Macaca fascicularis: one gene and its partners. The protein of the gene in region 1 interacts with the protein of each later gene in a biochemical or structural test. Links are inferred from orthologs where the notes say so. Each region holds a gene or a part of one and is shown in the gene's direction. Other genes may lie near its edges.

Region 1 (4,719 bases):
TATATATATGCACATCATGAGGTGATTTCTGCACACATTAGATTTCTGGTGGGAGACTTTTCTGAGATATGTTCCTTTACCAAAAATTGTTGGCTGTGAAGGTATGGAGTAGTTGTTAATTGCAGTTTTTGTTTATATGAATTTAGTATGTTTCACTAAATAATGGTAGAGAGAGTTGTATTCTCAATCATTATTTAAAACTTGTCTTGATGGAATTTGGTTAACAAGGTAAGAGTCTGAAAAGAAGCTTGACATTTGCTTGTGGGTTTTCAGAAATTTCTTGAGGATAATCTGACATTAGCCACCATGGCGACTTAAGTGTGTCTTTGGGCCTCCAGGATCCTCCTTCGTATTTGGAACTGGACCTTCAGCACCATCTGCCAGTCCAGCATTTGGTGCTAACCAGACCCCAACATTTGGACAAAGTCAAGGTGCCAGCCAGCCCAATCCCCCAGGCTTTGGATCTATATCATCTTCCACAGCATTATTTTCCAGTGGTTCTCAGCCTGCACCACCTACTTTTGGGACAGTGTCAAGCAGTAGTCAGCCCCCTGTGTTTGGACAGCAACCTAGTCAGTCTGCATTTGGCTCTGGAACAACTCCTAATTCCAGTAAGTGTGCTGTGATGCTGTTGTATCTGTATGAGTTTTGTATGTCTTAAAATATTTTCCTTTGAGCTTGGAAACCATTTGTATGTTTAATTTTAAAATTACCTCTTGGCCGGGCACGGTGGCTCACGCCGTAACCCCAGCACTTTGGGAGGCCGAGGTGGGCGGATCATGAGGTCAGGAGATTGAGACCATCCTGGCTAACATGGTGAAACCTACTAAAAATACAACTAAATACAAAAAATGAGCCGGGCATGGTGGCAGGCGCCTGTAGTCCCAGCTACTCTGGAGGCTGAGGCAGGAGAATGGCGTGAACCCGGGAGGCAGAGGTTGCAGTGAGCCAAGATCGTGCCACTGCACTCCAGCCTGAGCAACAGTGCGAGACTCCGACTCGGGGAAAAAAAATTATCTCTTGTACTTGGCAGAATAAAGAGGTAATATGGTTGGATTTATATGTAAACAACATTCCCAGGTTTCACAGACTTATAACTTTTTAAGGTAGTAATGTATTTTAAAGTGTTAATTTTTACTCTGACTTGAGATTCATTCAGTCTGGTTTCTTTTCAACTCTGAATTTTTGGGCTCTCAGAGCTAGCTTTAAAGTGCATTTTCTGATCCTATTCATGATTGGATTTGCGTCAGGAAGTTACCCCCAGGTCCAGTGCTCTCTCCTGAGGCAGTCCCGCTGAGTTGTCTCATGACACTTTCTGTTTACTGATGATACTAGCTTTTCCATTTGACCTGCATATTTAAATATGACTAATCAAACTGTATTATAATCCTGTATTTTCTTAAAATTGTTGATTTTTTCTAATTGTGAAATATAACATGTAGAAAGGGGTGTAAAATATAAGTGAACAGTGTAATATTGAAGCAAATGCTATATAATAACCACCTGGGAGCCCCTCATATATCTGTTTTTGAAAACATTCCTCTCTTTCTCCACTCTAATGATGACCACCGCTTCGTCTTTTATGGTAATCGCTGTTCTTTGAGTTTTATTACTGCATTTATTGGCCAATATATGCATCCCTAGAAAATGTAGTTTTGCCTGCTTTTATATATAAATGAAACATTACTGTATGCAATCTTTTGATTCTTGATTCTTTCGCTCTAAGGTTTCTAAGGGTCATCCATGTTTTGCATATGGTTTATTGTCATTGCCATAGAATCATTGTATGTACATAAATCATTGTATGAATGTACTGCAGTTTATCTATTTACTGTTGACGTATGTTTCAGTTGTTTTTAACAACTAGGAAATGCTACTCTGCACATTCTTATATATGTACCTTGGTGCACATAAGTATGTTTTTCTAGAGTATATATGTTTTTCTGGAGTTTTTCTAGAGTATATACAGTGGCATGGGATTGCTGAATTAAAAGGTTTGTATATCTTATACTAGAAGATAATACAAACTTTTCCTGTTGAATTCTGCCAGTTCATACCCTACCACTATTGTATGAGTTCTTATATGTGGCTTCTACTTGATTTCTCATGTGTGTGAATTCTTTTTAAAAAGTGTTTTTTTTTTTTTTTATTGGCCATTTTTCAGTTTGGCTTTTACATATGGGTTTGTAAAAGTTCTTTATGTGTTCTGGTTATTGGTACTTTGTCAGTTAATGTACATACTAAAATTTCTCCTGTTTTCTGATATATATTAACCATTTTGATCAGGATTTTTTCCTCTAATATGAAATTGGGAAGTTTCGATTTCTTTCACACAGTTAACATTTTTCTCTGTCGTCTTCTTTTTTTATGTTTTTTTTAAAGACGGAATCTTGCTCTGTCGCCCAGGCTGGAGTGCAGTGGCTCTCACTGCATCCTCCTCCTCCTGGGTTCAAATGGTTCTCCTGCCTCATCCTCCCAAGTAGCTGGGACTACAGGCATCCGCCACCACGCCTGGCTGATTTTTTTGTATTTTTAGTAGAGACGGGGTTTCACCATGTTAGCCAGGATGGTCTCGATCTCCTGACCTCATGATCCGCCCACCTCAGCCTCCCAAAGTGCTGGGATTACAGGCATGAGCCACCACGTCCAGTCTTTCCTCTGTCTTCATAATATAGAGACAGTATATGGTTAGATCACGATTCGGATTATGGAAATGCTGATTATTGCTGAGCCATATGGTATACTGTAACTTTCTATCCTATACAGAATTTTGTTTCTCTGACATTATTGACTTCCTCTCTCTGTTAATTTTTTTAATTTAAAGAGCAATCAATTTTATAAACTAAATACAAAGAAAAAGTCAATTTTAGGGAGATCTTTCTTCCAGTTAAAGAATTGAGACAAGGCTACAAAGGCCCTAAAAATTAGGGTCACACTATTGTTAAAACTTGGGGAAGGACAGCATTTTAGGGTGGAGGTTCTCAGTTCTGTAACAAAGTAGACCTGGATAGTAAAGATGTTAGAGAATCCTTTTTTAAAATTTTTTAAAAATGTTTTGAGATAGGGTCTTACCTTGCACCCACAGACTGGAGTACAGCGGTAGAATCTCAGCTCACTACTGCCTCAACCTGCTGGGCTCAAGCCATTCTCCTGCCTGAGCCCGCCAAGAAGCTGGGACTACAGGCAGACACCACCACTACACCCATCTGTTTATTTTTGGAGTGGTTCGTGGTTTGTAGAGACGGGGTTTTGCCATGTTATCCAGGCTGGTCTCGAAATCCCGAGCTCAAGCAGTCCACCCACCTCAGCCTCCTAAAGTGCTAGGATTATAGGTGTGAGCTACTGTGCCCAACCAAGGTGTTAGAAAATTCTAGGCTCTGGGTAGCAGCATAACTATCCCCCCAAAAAAAGCCATACTACAAAGTCTAGTAAAGGTCATTCCCACAGAAAACACAAAGCATTCATTTTGTCATACATAAAAATGTAGTTTTAGTAATAATCCGGAAGCATTTTTGATAAAAGTGAAAACCACATTTTAAAGTTTTTCATTTTTAAAAACTGATATGTGTTATTTTGTTACATACAATGTATAATAATCAAATTAGGGCATTTAGGATATCCATCACCTTGAGCATTCATCATTTCTTTGTATCGGGAATATTTCAGATCTTCTCTTCTAGCTATTTTGAAATATACAATAAATTATTGTTAACTCTACTGTGCTCTCAAATACTAGAATTTATTCCTACTATCTAGCCATATATTTGTATTCATTAACCACCTTTCTTTTCCTACCACCATCCCAACCAAGCCTCTGAACCATCATTCTGTTCTCTACCTTTATGAGATCAACTTTTTTTTAGCTCCTACATATGAATGAGAACGTTGAATATTTGTCTTTGTGCCTGACTTATTTCACCTAACATAATATCCTTCAGTGCCATAGATGTTGTAGTAAATGACAAGATTTTATTTTCTTTTAATGACCAAATAGTATTTCACTGTATATCAGATCACATTTTCTGCAGCCATTCATCTGTTGATGTACACTTAGATTGATTCCATATCTTGGCTATTGTGAATAGTGCTGCACTGAACATCGGGTACAGGTATCTGTTTGATATACTGATTTCCTTTTCTTTGGATAAATAAGTAATGGGATTGCTGGATCATAAGGTGATTCTATTTTTAGATTTTTTGAGAAACTTCCATACTGCTTTCCATATGGTTATACTAATTTACATTCATACCAACAGTGTATAAGTTTCCATTTCATTGCCAGCATTTGTTAATTTTTGTCCTTTTGGTAGTAGCCATTCTAATGGGTGAAATGCTGCCTCATTGTGGTTTTGATTTGCATTTCCCTTATGATAGTGATGTTGAGCATCTTTTCAGGTCTATTGGCCATTTGTGTATTGTGTTTTAAGAAATGTCTATTCAGATCCTTTGCCCGCTTTTCAATAGGATTATTTGGGTTGTTTGTTTTTTGTTTTGCTGTTGAGTCCTTTGAGCTCCTTGTGTATTCTGGATATTAGTTCCCTGTTGTATGAATAGTTAGCAAACATTTTTTCCCTTTCAACAGATTTTTCACTCTGTTGATTGCTGTTTAATATAGTCCCTCTCGTCTATTTTTTTGTTGCCTGTGCTTTTGATGTCTTAGCCATAAAATCTTTGCCTAGGCCAGGGGGGGTCCAATCTTTTGGCTTCCATGGGCCACTC
Region 2 (4,719 bases), on another chromosome or scaffold:
GTAGAGACGGGGTTTCGCCGTGTTAGCCAGGATGGTCTCGATCTCCTGACCTTGTGATCCGCCTGTCTCGGCCTCCCAAAGTGCTGGGATTACAGGCTTGAGCCACCACGCCCGGCCAAAAAATTTTTTTTAATTTAAAAAATAAATTAGTCAAGCATGATGTCACATGCCTGTAGTCCTAGATACCTAGGAGTCTGAGGTGGGAGGATCTCTTGAGTCCAGGAGTTTGAGGCTGCAGTGAACTATGATCATGCCACAGCACTGAACTTGGGTGACAGAGTGAGACCCTGTCCCCCCCAAAAAAATAAAATTTTAAGAGATTAAAAAAGAAGATTTCAGAGCTAAGCGTAGGTACTGGGGGTATGGGGATCCAGTTGGCTGTCTTCACCAGGGTCTCCTCCCTTTTTCCTTCCACCTTTTGCAGTTGAAGTCTGAGCGGGAGTTGGACAAGATAAAGGGGCTGAAACTAGAAGAGCTCTGGCTCGACGGAAACTCCTTGTGTGACACCTTCCGAGACCAGTCCACCTACATCAGGTCAGTTGTAGCCTGTGTCTCCCCTCCTGGGGACCTTCACCCCCTGGGAGGCTGAGCTAATGCATCCTGACCAGGGCCCGTCTGCGGAGATGTGCAGCCCTGAGCTGGAACCACCTGTCCTTTGGGAGGATCACGTGCTCCCCACTTTGGTCTGTCTATGTCTTCCAGCTTTGTCCTGAGATCCTTTCTCTTCTCTTCTGACCTGACTATCTGTTTGCTGGGTCTGTGGCCTTTCTCTTTCTTCCTGAACACAACCTTTTCTAGAATCTCCCTACCCTGTTGTTCCAGGAAAGGCATCTCTCCTTTCTACTCTGACCAGAGGGTATTTGTACATACCCTATAGATGGAGTGGCCTTATACCAAGAGCCTGATGTCCGTGGGCGGAGGAAGCCCTCCCTGCCTGGGACTTCCTTACTGAGATGGGCCTTCCGTCCTTTGTACTGTGATGGTCCCTCTTGCCCTTGCGCGAAGAGGGACCCTTTTCTCAGGATCCACTTGCCCAGGGTTGTTGCCTGGGCATTCCTGCCCATGCTGAGGTTGAGGCCTCCTAGGGGCTGGTGGCATGCAATCTGTCTATCTCCCTGAAGAAGAAACCTGGGTTCCCCAAGACGTGATCAGAGCTGGGGCCCCGCCAGCAGGCGAGGGAATCCCAAGGCAGGTGCTGGGCGTGGAGGCCACGGGGGCATAGGCTACCAAGGAGACAGAGAACTGAGCCCCTCGGGGGCGCTGCCTCTCCCTCACTCACACACTGCACGTCACCCTGTTTGGCCCCGGTGGATGGCTGGTTAGCCAGAGACGGGTAAGATTCCTCAGGGAAGGAACAACCTAAGACAGGCACAGTCGCAGAGGGGCCATCAGGAGATAACTTGGGGGCAACAGAGGTGGGGCACGGACCCTCACCCCCACAATCCTGCAAGGGCCTGAACCCTCACACCTTCTGAGGGAGGTCTCCTGCCCCCATGGCTGCTTTGCTCCCCACGCCCAGCTCAGATCGGGACCCAGGTAGCAGACAGAGACCTGGCCAACAGCAAGTGCCCACTCACCACAGCAAGGATTTGTTTCTCATTTCTACCTTGGACCACAGGGATGGGGCAGCTGAAAGAAAGGGCTGTGTCAGTTTCTCCCTTTTCTCCCTCATTTTTCTAGATGCTTTTTTGCCTTGTAGTTCTTTTCCCTTTTTCTTTGCTTTCTCTTTCTTTTTCTTCTGTGTTTCCTATACCTCCCCATCTCTGCCTTGCCCCTGCCCCATCTTGCCTTCTTCTCTTTTTCCTCCTTTTCCTCTCCTTTCTTACTCCTTGGCTTCTCCTCTTCCTGAGCCCCACCTGCTCATCTCCCTGCCCCAACATCCTGTGCCATCCCTGTGGTGTGTTTGGGTCTTGGCCAAGGCCAGACCTGGCAGAACTGATGGATACCTGGTGAGGCAGCGGAGCCCCTGGGCTCCCACCCCATTCCCTCCTCCCGGGGCTGCACAGGTGAGTAGGTGGAAGGTAAGGGGGGCAGGGAGGGGAAAGAGGTCCTGGGCTTAAAGCCTAGGTTTGGAGTACTGCTCCTTGACACTCAGGGTCAGGCAGAGAGAAAAGAGACAGCCTTCAAGGCAGTCCATGTCTGGGTGCCCCGGGTCAGGTGGGGAGTGGGGCCATTTTTCCCTGAGCACAGGCTGGGAGGGAGTGGAGGGATGAGCAGGATGGGATGGGCTGTCCCTCGGGTTTGGTATATTTGCTCCTAGAGCAGCCCAGGAGGCACGGTGGCTCTGAAGCATCACTTACTTCTGTCCCGTTCTTGACAGCGCCATTCGCGAACGATTTCCCAAGTTATTACGCCTGGTAAGTCCATAATTTTTTCATTCTAACAAGCACAGTGTCTCCCACTCACAAGGATTCCTGGATAGTTTTCTTTTTCTTTTTATTATTTTTTTTTTTTTGAGGCGGAGTTTCACTCTTATCGCCCAGGTTGGAGTGCAACGGCGTGATCTCAGCTCACCGCAACCTCCGCCTCCCAGGTTCAAGCGATTCTCCTGCCACAGTTTACTGAGCCCGAGTAGCTGGGATTACAGGCATGTGCTACCACGCCTGGCTAATTTTTGTATTTTTAGTAGAGACAGGGTTTCACCATGTTGGCCAGGCTGGCCTCAAACTCCTCACCTCAGGTGATCCATCCACCTTGGCCTCCCAAAGTGCTGGGATTATAGGCGTGAGCCACCTTGCCAGGCCGTTTATGGAGTCTTGCTCTGTTATCCAGAGTGCGGTGCAATCTAGACTCACTGCAACCTCCGCCTCCTGGGTTCAAGCGATTTTCCTGCCTCAGCCTCCCAAGTAGCTGGGATTACATGCATGTGCCACAACGCCCAGCTAATTTCTTTGTGTATTTTTAGTAGAGACGGGGGTTTCACCATGTTGGCCAGGATGGTCTTGAACTCCTGACCTCAACTAATCCATCCACCTTGGCCTCCCAGTGTGCTGGGATTACAGGCATGAGCCACTGTGCCCAGCCTGGATTCCTGGATACTTTTCATGATGCTTTTATACGTGACTTCTGATCCTTCTCTGTTAGTTCTTTAGTCTACTTATGCATCCAGCCTTTTTCTCTCTGGTTTAAACTGTCAACTTTTGTTTTGTTTTTGAGACAGGGTCTCGCTCTGTCATCCAGGCTGGAGTGCAGTGGCACAATCGTAGCTTACTGCAACCTTCGCCTGCCAGGTTCAAGTGATCCTCCCACTTCAGCCTCCCAAATAGCTGGGACTACAGGCACACACCACCACGCCCAGCTGATTTTTGTATTTTTTTTTGGTAGAGATGGGTTTTGCCATGTTGTCCAGGCTGGTCTAAAACTCCTGGGCTCAAGCCATCTGCCTGCCTCGGCCTCCCAAAGTTCTGGGATCACAGGTGTGAGCCACTGTGCTCAGTCTACACTGTCAACTTTTATTTCCTTTCCACAGGATGGCCATGAGCTACCCCCGCCAATTGCCTTTGATGTTGAAGCCCCCACGACGTTACCGCCCTGCAAGGTAGGAAGCATGGACTGAGTAAGAACTTATGTGTGGAGAGAATACTGCTTCCATGTTCCTAATATCTTGTTTGATTTCAGGGAAGCTATTTTGGAACAGAAAACTTGAAGAGTCTGGTCCTGCACTTCCTACAACAGTAAGTATCCCAGGGCCCCCTCTCCCCACCCCGGGGTTGGCAGGGAAAGGTGGGCAGACCCAGGCACACCTCAGCCTCACTCTTTTGGGTTTTTTTTTTGTTTGTTTGTTTTTTGGACAGTGTCTCACTCTGTCACCCAGGCTGGAGTGCAATGATGTGATCTTGGCTCACTGCAACCTCTGCCTCCCAGGGTTCAAGTGATTCTCCTGCCTCAGCCTCCCCAGTAGATGGGACTACAGGCGTGTGCCACCACACCTGGCTAATTTTTGTATTTTTCATAGAGACGGGGTTTCACTGTGTTGGCCAGGCTAGTCTCCAACTCCTGACCTCATGATCTGCCTGCCTTATCCTCCCAAAGTGTTGGGATTAGAGTCATGAGCCACCGCGCCCAGCCATTTTGTTTGTATTTTTAGTAGAGACAGGGTTTTGCCATGTTGCTCAGGCTGGTCTTGAACTCCTGGGCAAAAGCTGTTCATCTGCCTCAGCCTCCCAAAGTGCTGGGATTACAGACATGAGCCTCCATGCCCGGCCACAACTCACTCTTGGGAGCTACTGGGTCCTTTTATGGCTCTAGACCACATAGTTCATACTTTCTCTTTTGATTTTCCCATAGGTACTATGCAATTTATGACTCTGGAGACCGGCAAGGGCTCCTGGATGCCTACCATGATGGGGCCTGCTGTTCCCTGAGCATTCCTTTCATTCCTCAGAACCCTGCCCGGTGAGTATCACATCCCAGAATCTCCCCAGGACCACTGGGTTTCCCAGCAGATACAAGGCAGCACCTGCTGGCAGCACTGCTCTGAACACCACGTCCATTCCTCTTACTCCCCCAGAAGCAGCTTGGCCGAGTATTTCAAGGATAGCAGAAATGTGAAGAAGCTTAAAGACCCTAGTAAGTGTGTGATATGAACAAAATACGATGGGAAAAGGGCATGGGAAGGAATCAGTCATAGAACTCAGGAGTATGTGGCAGCACCGCTGAGCTTTCTCCTCCACCCACAGCCTTGCGGTTCCGGCTGCTGAAGCACACGCGTCTCAACGT
Region 3 (4,719 bases), on another chromosome or scaffold:
GATGCAGCAGTGATGGCTTTTGGTTGTATCTTGGAAGGACCAGAGCCCAGTCAGCTCAAACCACTAGTTATACAGGTGAAGCTGAGGGATTTTTGGAGTAGAAAGTAGAATATTTATTGTTTAAACTTAAAGCATATCTTTATTTTTCAAAACAAAACTGTAAATTGTCATCTACAAAGATTATTTATAGATACCTATTTACTTTTAATGAGAGTAAAATATATTTCTTAGGTTTCTAATTAGTCAGCATGATCCAGAGACTTTTGAAAAAAGCCAAAAGAGAAGTCACCTTTAATTTCATTGCCCAGAAATAACCGCTCTTAACTCTGTATTTATCCTTGAAGCTTTTTCCTGTGTAAATGTGTGTGCAACAGGCGCTTTCTGTGCAGATTGTTTTATAACTTGTTTCTTCATTTAATACTATGTTGTAAACATTTCCCGATAATTTTTTTTTGCACCTAGCACTGATTCCCCATAATTTTAAATAATGGCATTATTATTCTATTCTTTGGACAAAATGGCCTTTATATAATGAAAATGTTCTTGTGGAAATGTTGTGCTTGTTTTTTTATTAAAAATCGTGCCATTGCACTCCAGCCTGGGCAACAAGAGTGAAACTCCATCTCAAAAAAAAGAAAAGGAGTTTGTTATACTTGAGTTTAGTGCTTAAAGAATTCAGTCTTTGTGGATATAGCCAGATGCCATCGTAGCTGCATCCTGGGAATTCTGAGTATCTGAGTAATTTTTTTTTTTTTGAGGTGGGGAGGCGGGGGGCTGGAGTCTTACTCTGTTACCTGTGCTGGAGTGCTGAAGCTTAGTGGTACAATCTAGGCTCACTGCAACCTCCAGCTCCCCAGCTCAAGCAATTCTCGTGCCTTAGCCCCCTGAGTAGTTGGGACTATGTGCCACCATGCCCAGCTAATTTTTGTATTTTTAGTAGAGAGACTGGATTTCATCATGTTGACCAGGCTGGTCTTGAACTCCTGACCTCAAGTGATCTGCCTGCCTCAGCCTCCCAGAGTGCTGGGATTATAGGCATGAGCCATCATGCCCGGCCTCTATCTGAGTAATTTATTGCAGACTACTGAAAGCATTTATACCAAATTTTTAATATAAAACTCTAAACTGGAGTTTTGAAAGATATTTTCAAATATTTTGAAAGATGTTTCATACCATGTCCTGTAAAATTACAAAAGTATCGTGGTGACTTTTTTGAGTTAAGCCATCCATTAGTATTTCTTTTTCTGAAGTAGTAGTTAACATGAATTTTAATCTTTGTTTTGCTTTGCTAATAACTGTTATATTTTCAGGCTATGCCCACCTTAATAGAATTAATGAAAGACCCCAGTGTAGTTGTTCGAGATACAGCTGCATGGACTGTAGGCAGAATTTGTGAGCTGCTTCCTGAAGCTGCCATCAATGATGTCTACTTGGCTCCCCTGCTGCAGTGTCTGATTGAGGGCCTCAGTGCTGAACCCAGAGTGGCTTCAAATGTGTGCTGGGTAAGGGGTTTTCTTCCGGGTGAGAAAAGGAGCTTGCCTTTGCCATTGGCAAGAAAGTAGAAGGTGTGGGAGAGAAATGGATCTGCCTCACTGGAAGCCTTTTTCTGAATAACATTTTCTTCCTAATTTATTCAATTAAAATGTGGGGGAGATTCCAACTGCAAGAGCCAGTGGGAACAGTTGACTCACGGTTACTGGTTCCTGAACCACTTAGAACAGTCATGGTAACCCAGTGGGGAAACTATCTGGACTTGGGTTGCTTTCTTGAATTGCTTGGGGACAAGAAGTTTTGATTAAGGTAGAGAGTTGTTGGCTACAAGAAGTATCATTGCTGAGAAGAGGGCAAGAGGAAAGGAAGGTAGGCAGCCTAAATGCTGAGTCAGTATACGCTAATGTATTTGGTTAAGGGGAGGAAGTTCAAATAAGGAATATAAGGAATGGGGCTAAAAGTCTGTGAAAGGAAACAGGAGAAATGAAATGGACAGGATTTCTGTGATCAGAAACAGAAGAAATGGCAGGTGTTGGTGAAAGTACTCTGCTGCTTAGAGAGTTGTCAGATTATCAGACAGGATGAACAGAAAGTACAAATCAAATAAATAAATAGTTAATTTAAAAGACACCCGTAAAATGCCATCTTAAGAGATTACCTTGGCAGAAAAAGTTGGAAGTTCACTGACACAGCCCAAAGTATCTTAATGAAAAATGAGATGGTCCTAAGGTGTGGGGTTCTTTCAGGATTAACACTGAACCTATCTGCATTTCAGGCTTTCTCCAGTCTGGCTGAAGCTGCTTATGAAGCTGCAGATGTTGCTGATGATCAGGAAGAACCAGCTACTTATTGCTTGTCTTCTTCATTTGAACTCATAGTTCAGAAGCTCCTGGAGACTACAGACAGGTAACTGATATTTCACAGAAATGAGTAACGTCTTTGCATCCAAGTTCTGTTGCCTTCTATGTGGAGGATATCTAGCTTAATCATAGAAGCATAGTGAGACAGGACAAGACTCTACCTTCTCTAGTGGAATTAAGAGTCCCGCCAGTGCTGGGCGCGGTGGCTCAAGCCTGTAATCCCAGCACTTTGGGAGGCCGAGGCCGGCAGATCACGAGGTCAGGAGATCAAGACCATCCTGGCTAACAAGGTAAAACCCTGTCTCTACTAAAAATACAAAAAATTAGCCAGGCGTGGTGGCGGGCGCCTATAGTCCCAGCTACTCAGGAGGCTGAGGCAGGAGAATGGCGTGAACCCGGGAGGCGGAGCTTGCAGTGAGCCAAGATTGCGCCACTGCACTCCCATCCTGGGCAACAGCGAGACTCAGTCTCAAAAAAAAAAAAAGAATCCCACTGGGCGCGGTGGCTCACGCCTATAATCCCAATACTTTGGGAGGCTGAGGCAACTGGATCACCTGAGGTCAGGAGTTCGAAAGCAGTCTGGCCAACATGGTGAAACCCCGTCTCTACTAAAAATACAAAAAAATTAGCCGGGTGTGGCGGCGCATGCCTGTAGTCCCAGCTACTCAGGAGGCTGAGGCAGGAGAATTGCTTGAACTTGGGAGGCAGAGGTTGCAGTGAGCTGAGATTGCGCCACTGCACTCCAGCCTGGGCAACAAGAGTGAAACTCCATCTCAAAAAAAAAAAAAAAAAAAAAGAATCCCATGATTGGTTGACTGGTTTGTTTAAAGATAGAGAAAGAGATGCAAATTCCACCTACCTTAAAATTGTTCAGTTTATAGCTTAAATCTGAATATAGTGTAATTTCTCTAGTTTCTTTGTAGACAGTTATTGATCTAGAGAGGTTCCTTCATTTTGCAGCATTGACAGTTAACAGGAGTGTTCGGTTACAAGAGAAATGATAGTATTCATTATGAATTTGATTGCCACACCAAATCAATAACTACCATTTATTTTATTTTTATTTTTTATTATTATTATTATTTGAGACGGAGTGTTGCTCTGTTGCCCAGGCTGGAGTGCAGTGGTGCAGTCTCGGCTCACTGCAACCTCCTCAAGCGATTCTTCTGCCTTAGTCTCCTGAGTAGCTGGGACTACAGGCACAAGCCACCATGCCCAGCTAATTTTAGTATTTTTAGTAGAGATGGGGTTTCATTGTGTTGGCCAGGATGGTCTCGATCTCCTGACCTCGTGATCCACCTGCCTTGGCCCCCCAAAGTGCCGGGATTACAGGCATGAGCTACCGTGCCCGGCCAACTACCATATTTTTATGTGGGATGAAGAACTTGGGGTAAATGCAGTTGACTTAGAAAAAAGCTTTTGAAATGTTGTTTAAAGGTGTTTTAAGTTGGAGACAACCTTTAACAGTTCATGTTTTGTGTGAGCTATACCTAAAGTCATGAGCAAAGTAAACCTGAGCTGAGCACAAAAATCTCCCCTTTTTTTGAGACAGAGTTTCGCTCTTGTCACCCAGGCTGAAGTGCAATTGTGCAGTCTTGGCTCACTGCAGCCTCCCGGGTTCAAGTGTTTCTCGTGCTTCGGCCTCCAGAGTAGCTGGGACTAAAGGTGCCCACCAACATGCCTGGCTAATTTTTGTATTTATAGTAGAGATGGGGTTTTGCATGTTGGCCAGGCTAGTCACAAATTCCTGACACCTCAGGTGGTCTGCCCACCTTGGCCTCCCAAAGTGCTGGGATTAGAGGCCTGAGCCACTGTGCCCATCATCTCCATGCCTCTTTGAGATTGTAAATGAAGACATCTTTTTTAAAGGAATGAAGAAAATTGGGGTATTTTCTTTTTTTTGTTTGTTTGTTTTTGTTTTTGTTTTTGTTTTTGAGACAGAGTTTCGCTCTTGTTGCCCTGGAGTGCAGTCTCGGCTCACTGCAACCTCCACCTCCCAGGTTCAAGGAATTCTTGTGCCTCAGCTTCCTGAGTAGCTGGGATTACAGGCATGCGCCCCTACGCCTGGCTAATTTTTATATTTTCAGTAGAGATGGGGTTTTACCATGTTGACCAGGCTGGTTTCAAACTGACCTCAAGTGATCCGCCTGCCTCAGCCTCCTAAATTGCTGAGATTACAGGCATGAGCCACCATATCTAGGCGAGAAAATTGGGGTATTTTCTTCATAGCTCTTCAGACAACCTGTTAAATTGTTCACATGATTCTTTACCATTTCAAACCATTTTTTCCTCTATAATTTTAGCCCATTTCGTAAAAGGGCCATTCTAAATTTTAACTGTCTGGAGACCATAATGAACATAGCCATTG
Region 4 (5,364 bases), on another chromosome or scaffold:
CATCTAGTGTGTTTTCCAGCAGTGGAAGCGGCCTCTCCCATATTCTTACTAACTTGTGCTACTTGTGACTGACAGCCAGAGTGTGTCAGGAACCGCCAAGGTTAGGGCAACACAGGCCTGGAGAAGGTGTGAGCTCAGTGGGTTTAGAATCCACCACCTTTGGCTTATTAAGCTTTTAGTGCTGCTTGTAGCAAGTCTTGTTTTTGCCTTAGGGCATAACTGATCTGTCAAGGCAAGATCCTGATTGGTTAAAGCCTATTCAGGAACTTCTCTCGTCCGCCTTGAAGCTGTAAGGGTCCAAAGCAGTAGTCTTATTTTCTTAGCTAGAGAAATTACATTTCTGATTGACCACACTTGGCCCTTTTTAAAATTAATAAATGCTTCTGAAATAATTCTGACTAGCATTCCCGGTAGTAAACCTCCTTTCAATTTGGTTTCTTTGAATGGGAGCTGAGATATGGAACTTTCACTTTGTTTTTTTCTTTTCTGAAAAACATTTTTCCTATGGGGTCACGCTCTCCATCTCATAGTCTGGGTTTCCAATCAAATGCAGAACCATGGAAGATTAAACACAAGAACAGAACAGAAAGGAAAAGCAGTATTTGCAAGTTACATCTTAGACCTGTGGCTTCAGTTCTCACAAGGCCTGTTTTTCCCTTGCTATGATCTATGTTTTATACCACACAGAGTAAGAATAATTGTGTTTTTTTGTTTATGATGGTGTGTTTAGGTAATACCTGATTTAATATTTACCTTTATAATATTGTTTATAGCAATATTTAGAAAAAGTCCAAGGGATTTGTATATAATGATGTTTTACCCTTTCCTCCCTTCTTTTTTCTTTGTAATTTTAGGAGATTCCTCAACAGTTGAATGGGAGTGATTGTGGAATGTTTACTTGTAAATATGCAGATTATATTTCTAGGGACAAACCTATCACATTTACTCAGGTGAGTGAAGACCCTCCTCATTCATTTACTTGTTACTAAGCAAGATAAGGCACTTGGCCAGTGCCTGGCACATGTTCAGCTCTCAGTAGTAGTAGCTGGCCAGGCGTGGTGGCTCACACCTATATTCCCAGCACTTTGGGAGGCCGAGGCAGGCGGATCACCTGAGGTTAGGAGTTCAAGACCAGCCTGGCCAACATGGTGAAACCCCATCTCTACTAAAAACACAAAAGTTAGCCAGGTGTGGTGGTGCACACCTATAATCCCAGCTACTCAGGAGACTGAGGCAGGAGAATCGCTTGAACCCAGGAGGCAGAGGTCGCAGTGAGCCGAGGTCACACCAGTGCACTCCAGTCTTGGCAACAGAGCGAGACTCTTGTCTCAAAAATAAATAAATAATAGTAGCTGGGCTCATGCCTGTAATCCCAGCACTTTGGGAGGCCAAGGCAGGTGGATCAGCTGAGGTCAGAAGTTCAAGACCAGCCTGACCAACATGGAGAAACCCTGTGTCTACTAAAAATACAAAATTAGCCGGGCGTGGTGGCGCATGCCTGTAATCCCAGTTACTAGGGAGGCTGAGGCAGGAGAATTGCTTGAACCCAGGAGGTGGAGGTTGTGGGGAGTCGAGATCACGCCATTGCACTCCAGCCTGGGGCAACAAAAGCGAAACTCCATCTCCCCAAAAAAAAAAAAAAAAATAGTAGTAGCTGTGCTATTCTTATTGCTGTAAATCTTGGTTTTAGCCCTACCCCTGCCAGAATCAGGGTTTGTTATTTTATCTGCTCTCAGGTTTATCCTAGTCTTTGGTACACAATGGGCACAAATTGCAAACCTCTGAACTCTGGCATTCATTGGTTCCTGTGTATTATTATTTCTAGCCAAAGAAAGAGGTATGTCAGTATTTAATAGGAAGGGAAAAACAGGCCTGTGAGCATTGAAGTCACAGGTCTAAGATGTAACTTGTGAATACTGCTCTTCCTTTCTGTTCTGCTCTTTTGTTTGTTTAATTCTCCATGGCTCTGCATTTGATTGGAAACTCAAGTATGTTGGGAATTCTTGAGAATTTGTAACAGTGGATTCTCAACCTTTTTACAACTGAGGACAACCTCATTAAAAATATTTTTCAGGCCGGTGTGGTGGCTCAAGCTTGTAATCTCAGCACTTTGGGAGGCCGAGGCGGGTGGATCACGAGGTCAGGAGATCGAGACCATCCTGGTAACACAGTGAAACCCCGTCTCTACTAAAAAATACAAAAAACTAGCCGGGCGAGGTGGCGGGCGCCTGTAGTCCCAGCTACTGGGGATGCTGAGGCAGGAGAATGGCGTAAACCCAGGAGGCAGAGCTTGCAGTTAGCTGAGATCCAGCCACTGCACTCCAGCCTGGGCGACAGAGCGAGACTCTGTCTCAAAAAATATATATATATATTTTTCATCCACAGACTTTATTTTGATAGATGTCTACCAAGCAAACTGTATTTATTACATGAATACAAACTATAATACAAACTGTATTACATGAAGTAACTAGGACTCCCATGCTGAATTAATACAATTCCAGTAAAAAATAAAGGCATTTATTGCTTAGTCTTAGCAGTTTTACTAAGAGCAAATGTGCAGTTTTTACTAGATGTTTTGAACTATTTAAAATAATTTAAGAATCATGTGTTAAGACTTTTTAGCCCCCACCCCTAGGTAGGACATCACTAGTTTTTTATTATTATTATTATTATTATTATTATTATTATTATTATTTTGAGATGGAGTCTTGCTCTGTTGCCCAGGCTGGAGTGCAGAGGCATGATCTTGGCTCACTGCAACCTCCATCTCTCAGGTTCAAGTGATTCTCCTGCCTCAGCCTCCTGAGAAGCTGGGACTACAGGCATGTACCACCATGCCCGGCTAATTTTTGTATTTTTAATGGAGGCGAGGTTTCACCGTGTTAGCCAGGATGGTTTCGATCTCCCGACCTTATGATCTGCCCTCCTCGGCCTCCCAAAGTGCTGGGACTGCGCCCGGCCTTTTAATGGTTTGATAAGTATGTTCCATGATATAAAAATGTCAACATTTAGAAAAAGAACATGGACATCCTGCTTTATTGACATGATTACACCTGAAGGTTGTGCTGCTGTGCACATTATGATGTAATGCATGTGTTGTTTATGGGATTCTTTGCAGCACCAGATGCCTCTCTTCCGGAAGAAGATGGTGTGGGAAATCCTTCATCAGCAGTTGCTGTGAGAAAACTTTGCCTGGTCCCCTCTAGCTGCTGGTGGTTCTTTCACAGACATTTCCATATACCTCATGCATTGTGGGTTAAAAAGTCCCTGCATCACTTCTGTTCTCTCACAGGTACTGAGCTGTCAAAAGTGCATGAAGGCCTCTCACTGCACCCTAGTCCTGACTTGGGGTGCAGAGGGCTGCTTGCAATCCTGTTTGTAAGGCTGTGCCTGCTCAGAGCTTTGGACTGTTCAACCCACACAAGAACAAACGCTAACTACTATTTTTTTTAAGAGATTCTTTTCCCTATGAATGTGGGAAATGCAGGATTTACTCTGTGAATTGTTTGTTTTCTGTGTGTTTGTTCAGCGTATTCATTCACTCACTCGTTTGCAAACATAATGGGCAGTGGTCATTTGCTGCTGCTCTTTTACAGTTAGCTCTAAATTACTTGTTTGAACTATTTATTTCTGAAAGGAATGTTACTCAAGCTGCCACTCCCTGCTGAAGACCAGGAGGGAACTCTCACTGGGGGCGGAAGGAAGTGGAGCTGGAGCAGTAACTGCCAACATGAAGCTGGAGGGTTTGGGATTTTGTTTTTTGTTTTTGTTTTTTTGAGGCTCAAAAATGCTGGGAGAAATGAAAATGCTGTGGGATAGGGCTCCCGTTGCCTTTCAGAGGAAGTCTGACACTACAGCGTTGGCACAGTGCCATGAACAGTGGACCTGTGCCCAAGGAACTCTGACTATCCAAGCATCTTCCGAAGAGATGTGTTGTCATCTTAAAGAGACTTCCCTTTCTGGAAATGAGGTGACTTGGCTTAGTCTTGAAACTGGATTCATGGATTTGAAGTAACTGTAAACCCTAAATCTTCATTTTCATCCCAGATCTGATTGAGTATAAACCTCAGAATTATAGGGCCTGGCCTGAGCTGTTTAATTCAAAAGATACTATTCAATTTAAAGCTATTTTTCCTCAGAGTTTTTGTTTTCTATATATTAAGCCTAAATTAAGTTTTCTACTCATTAAGACTGACATCTCCCCACTCCATCCCCACTGAAATTTGTGGAAGAAAATTTAGTACTTGGCTCTGAGGTTGCCAGTTATACAATAATCTATTTTGCATATGAAAGTTTGTATTTAACTTTTTTGTTCATTAAAAACCTTACTGATGTGGTTATAACTTCAGAAAGTTTAGAGTTGGTCAGAACATATTTTGCAAGATCTAGTGCCTAGTGTTGCTTTTCTGATGTAATAAAAGGTTGTCTGGCAGAACCTAAAAAAGTATATGCTGAAATGATTTCCAACCCTCTCCCTACTTCAACCTCCCAAACTTGTTCTGGTTCATAAAAGCAAGAGGTAAAACTGGAAAAATTGGGCATGTGTTACCTATGAATCTACATGCCTGCCATTTGGAGTGCTCCGGCTGCTGGTCCCAGAGGTATACTGGTTATAGCTATTGCAGCCAGTTCCCTGAGACTTGTAAAATCCTGGTTTAGGACATGGGCCTGTGGTGTGGATTGAAAATGCTGGGCCTACTTGATGGTCAGCCAGAGGCCATGTGGTTGGGTGATGATTGAAGTGGGAGCAGGTTGTGCTACACCTCCCTCCTTCCTGCAGCCCCTGCTCCTTTCCCTGGGCTCCTGGCACTGAGTGACTACTGGGACCAGGCAATGAGCACAGCCAAAAAGGCCAGAGGTCACTAGGTCAGCATTATACCAAACACCTGGCTTTCACTGGGCATCAGCGTGCTTCACTTGAGAGTTTGGTACCATGGTTAAGATTGATTCCATGCGCCGGGCGCGGTGGCTCAAGCCTGTAATCCCAGCACTTTGGGAGGCCGAGGCGGGCGGATCACAAGGTCAGGAGATCGAGACCACGGTGAAACCCCGTCTCTACTAAAAATACAAAAAATTAGCCGGGCGCGGTGGCGGGCGCCTGTAGTCCTAGCTACTCAGGAGGCTGAGGCAGGAGAATGGCGGGAACCCGGGAGGCGGAGCTTGCAGTGAGCCGAGATCGCGCCACTGCACTCCAGCCTGGGCAACAGCGTGAGACTCCGTCTCAAAAAAAAAAAAAAAAAAAAGATTGATTCCATGCTAGGTAAGTCCTGTTAGGAATGGCAGTTTGTATTCCGCCCACATGAATTATGCTGGGCTTAATGTATTATTTGAGGGGCTTCTTAAGAGCAGTTCTCACTGAGC

The links.
Region 2: the proteins of NUP153 (region 1) and NXF1 form a complex in vitro, tested with the Homo sapiens proteins (2 studies listed by BioGRID and IntAct). The link is inferred for Macaca fascicularis from reciprocal best matches to the Homo sapiens genes NUP153 and NXF1.
Region 3: the proteins of NUP153 (region 1) and KPNB1 form a complex in vitro, tested with the Homo sapiens proteins (4 studies listed by BioGRID and IntAct, with this or other methods). The link is inferred for Macaca fascicularis from reciprocal best matches to the Homo sapiens genes NUP153 and KPNB1.
Region 4: the proteins of NUP153 (region 1) and SENP2 form a complex in vitro, tested with the Homo sapiens proteins (2 studies listed by BioGRID). The link is inferred for Macaca fascicularis from reciprocal best matches to the Homo sapiens genes NUP153 and SENP2.

The regions. Positions count from the first base shown.
Region 1 is NC_088378.1:155,270,759-155,275,477, forward strand, and holds part of NUP153 (nuclear pore complex protein Nup153), read left to right. Parts: intron 1-338; coding exon 339-611; intron 612-4,719. UniProt on the Homo sapiens protein: Component of the nuclear pore complex (NPC), a complex required for the trafficking across the nuclear envelope. Functions as a scaffolding element in the nuclear phase of the NPC essential for normal nucleocytoplasmic transport of proteins and mRNAs.
Region 2 is NC_088388.1:11,251,903-11,256,621, forward strand, and holds part of NXF1 (nuclear RNA export factor 1), read left to right. Parts: intron 1-424; coding exon 425-534; intron 535-2,320; coding exon 2,321-2,357; intron 2,358-3,469; coding exon 3,470-3,538; intron 3,539-3,618; coding exon 3,619-3,674; intron 3,675-4,287; coding exon 4,288-4,395; intron 4,396-4,510; coding exon 4,511-4,569; intron 4,570-4,679; coding exon 4,680-4,719.
Region 3 is NC_088390.1:59,066,967-59,071,685, reverse strand, and holds part of KPNB1 (importin subunit beta-1), read left to right. Parts: coding exon 1-75; intron 76-1,310; coding exon 1,311-1,502; intron 1,503-2,266; coding exon 2,267-2,397; intron 2,398-4,719.
Region 4 is NC_088376.1:97,560,064-97,565,427, forward strand, and holds the end of SENP2 (sentrin-specific protease 2), read left to right. Parts: intron 1-854; coding exon 855-950; intron 951-3,121; coding exon 3,122-3,184; 3' UTR 3,185-4,447; downstream 4,448-5,364. UniProt on the Homo sapiens protein: Protease that catalyzes two essential functions in the SUMO pathway.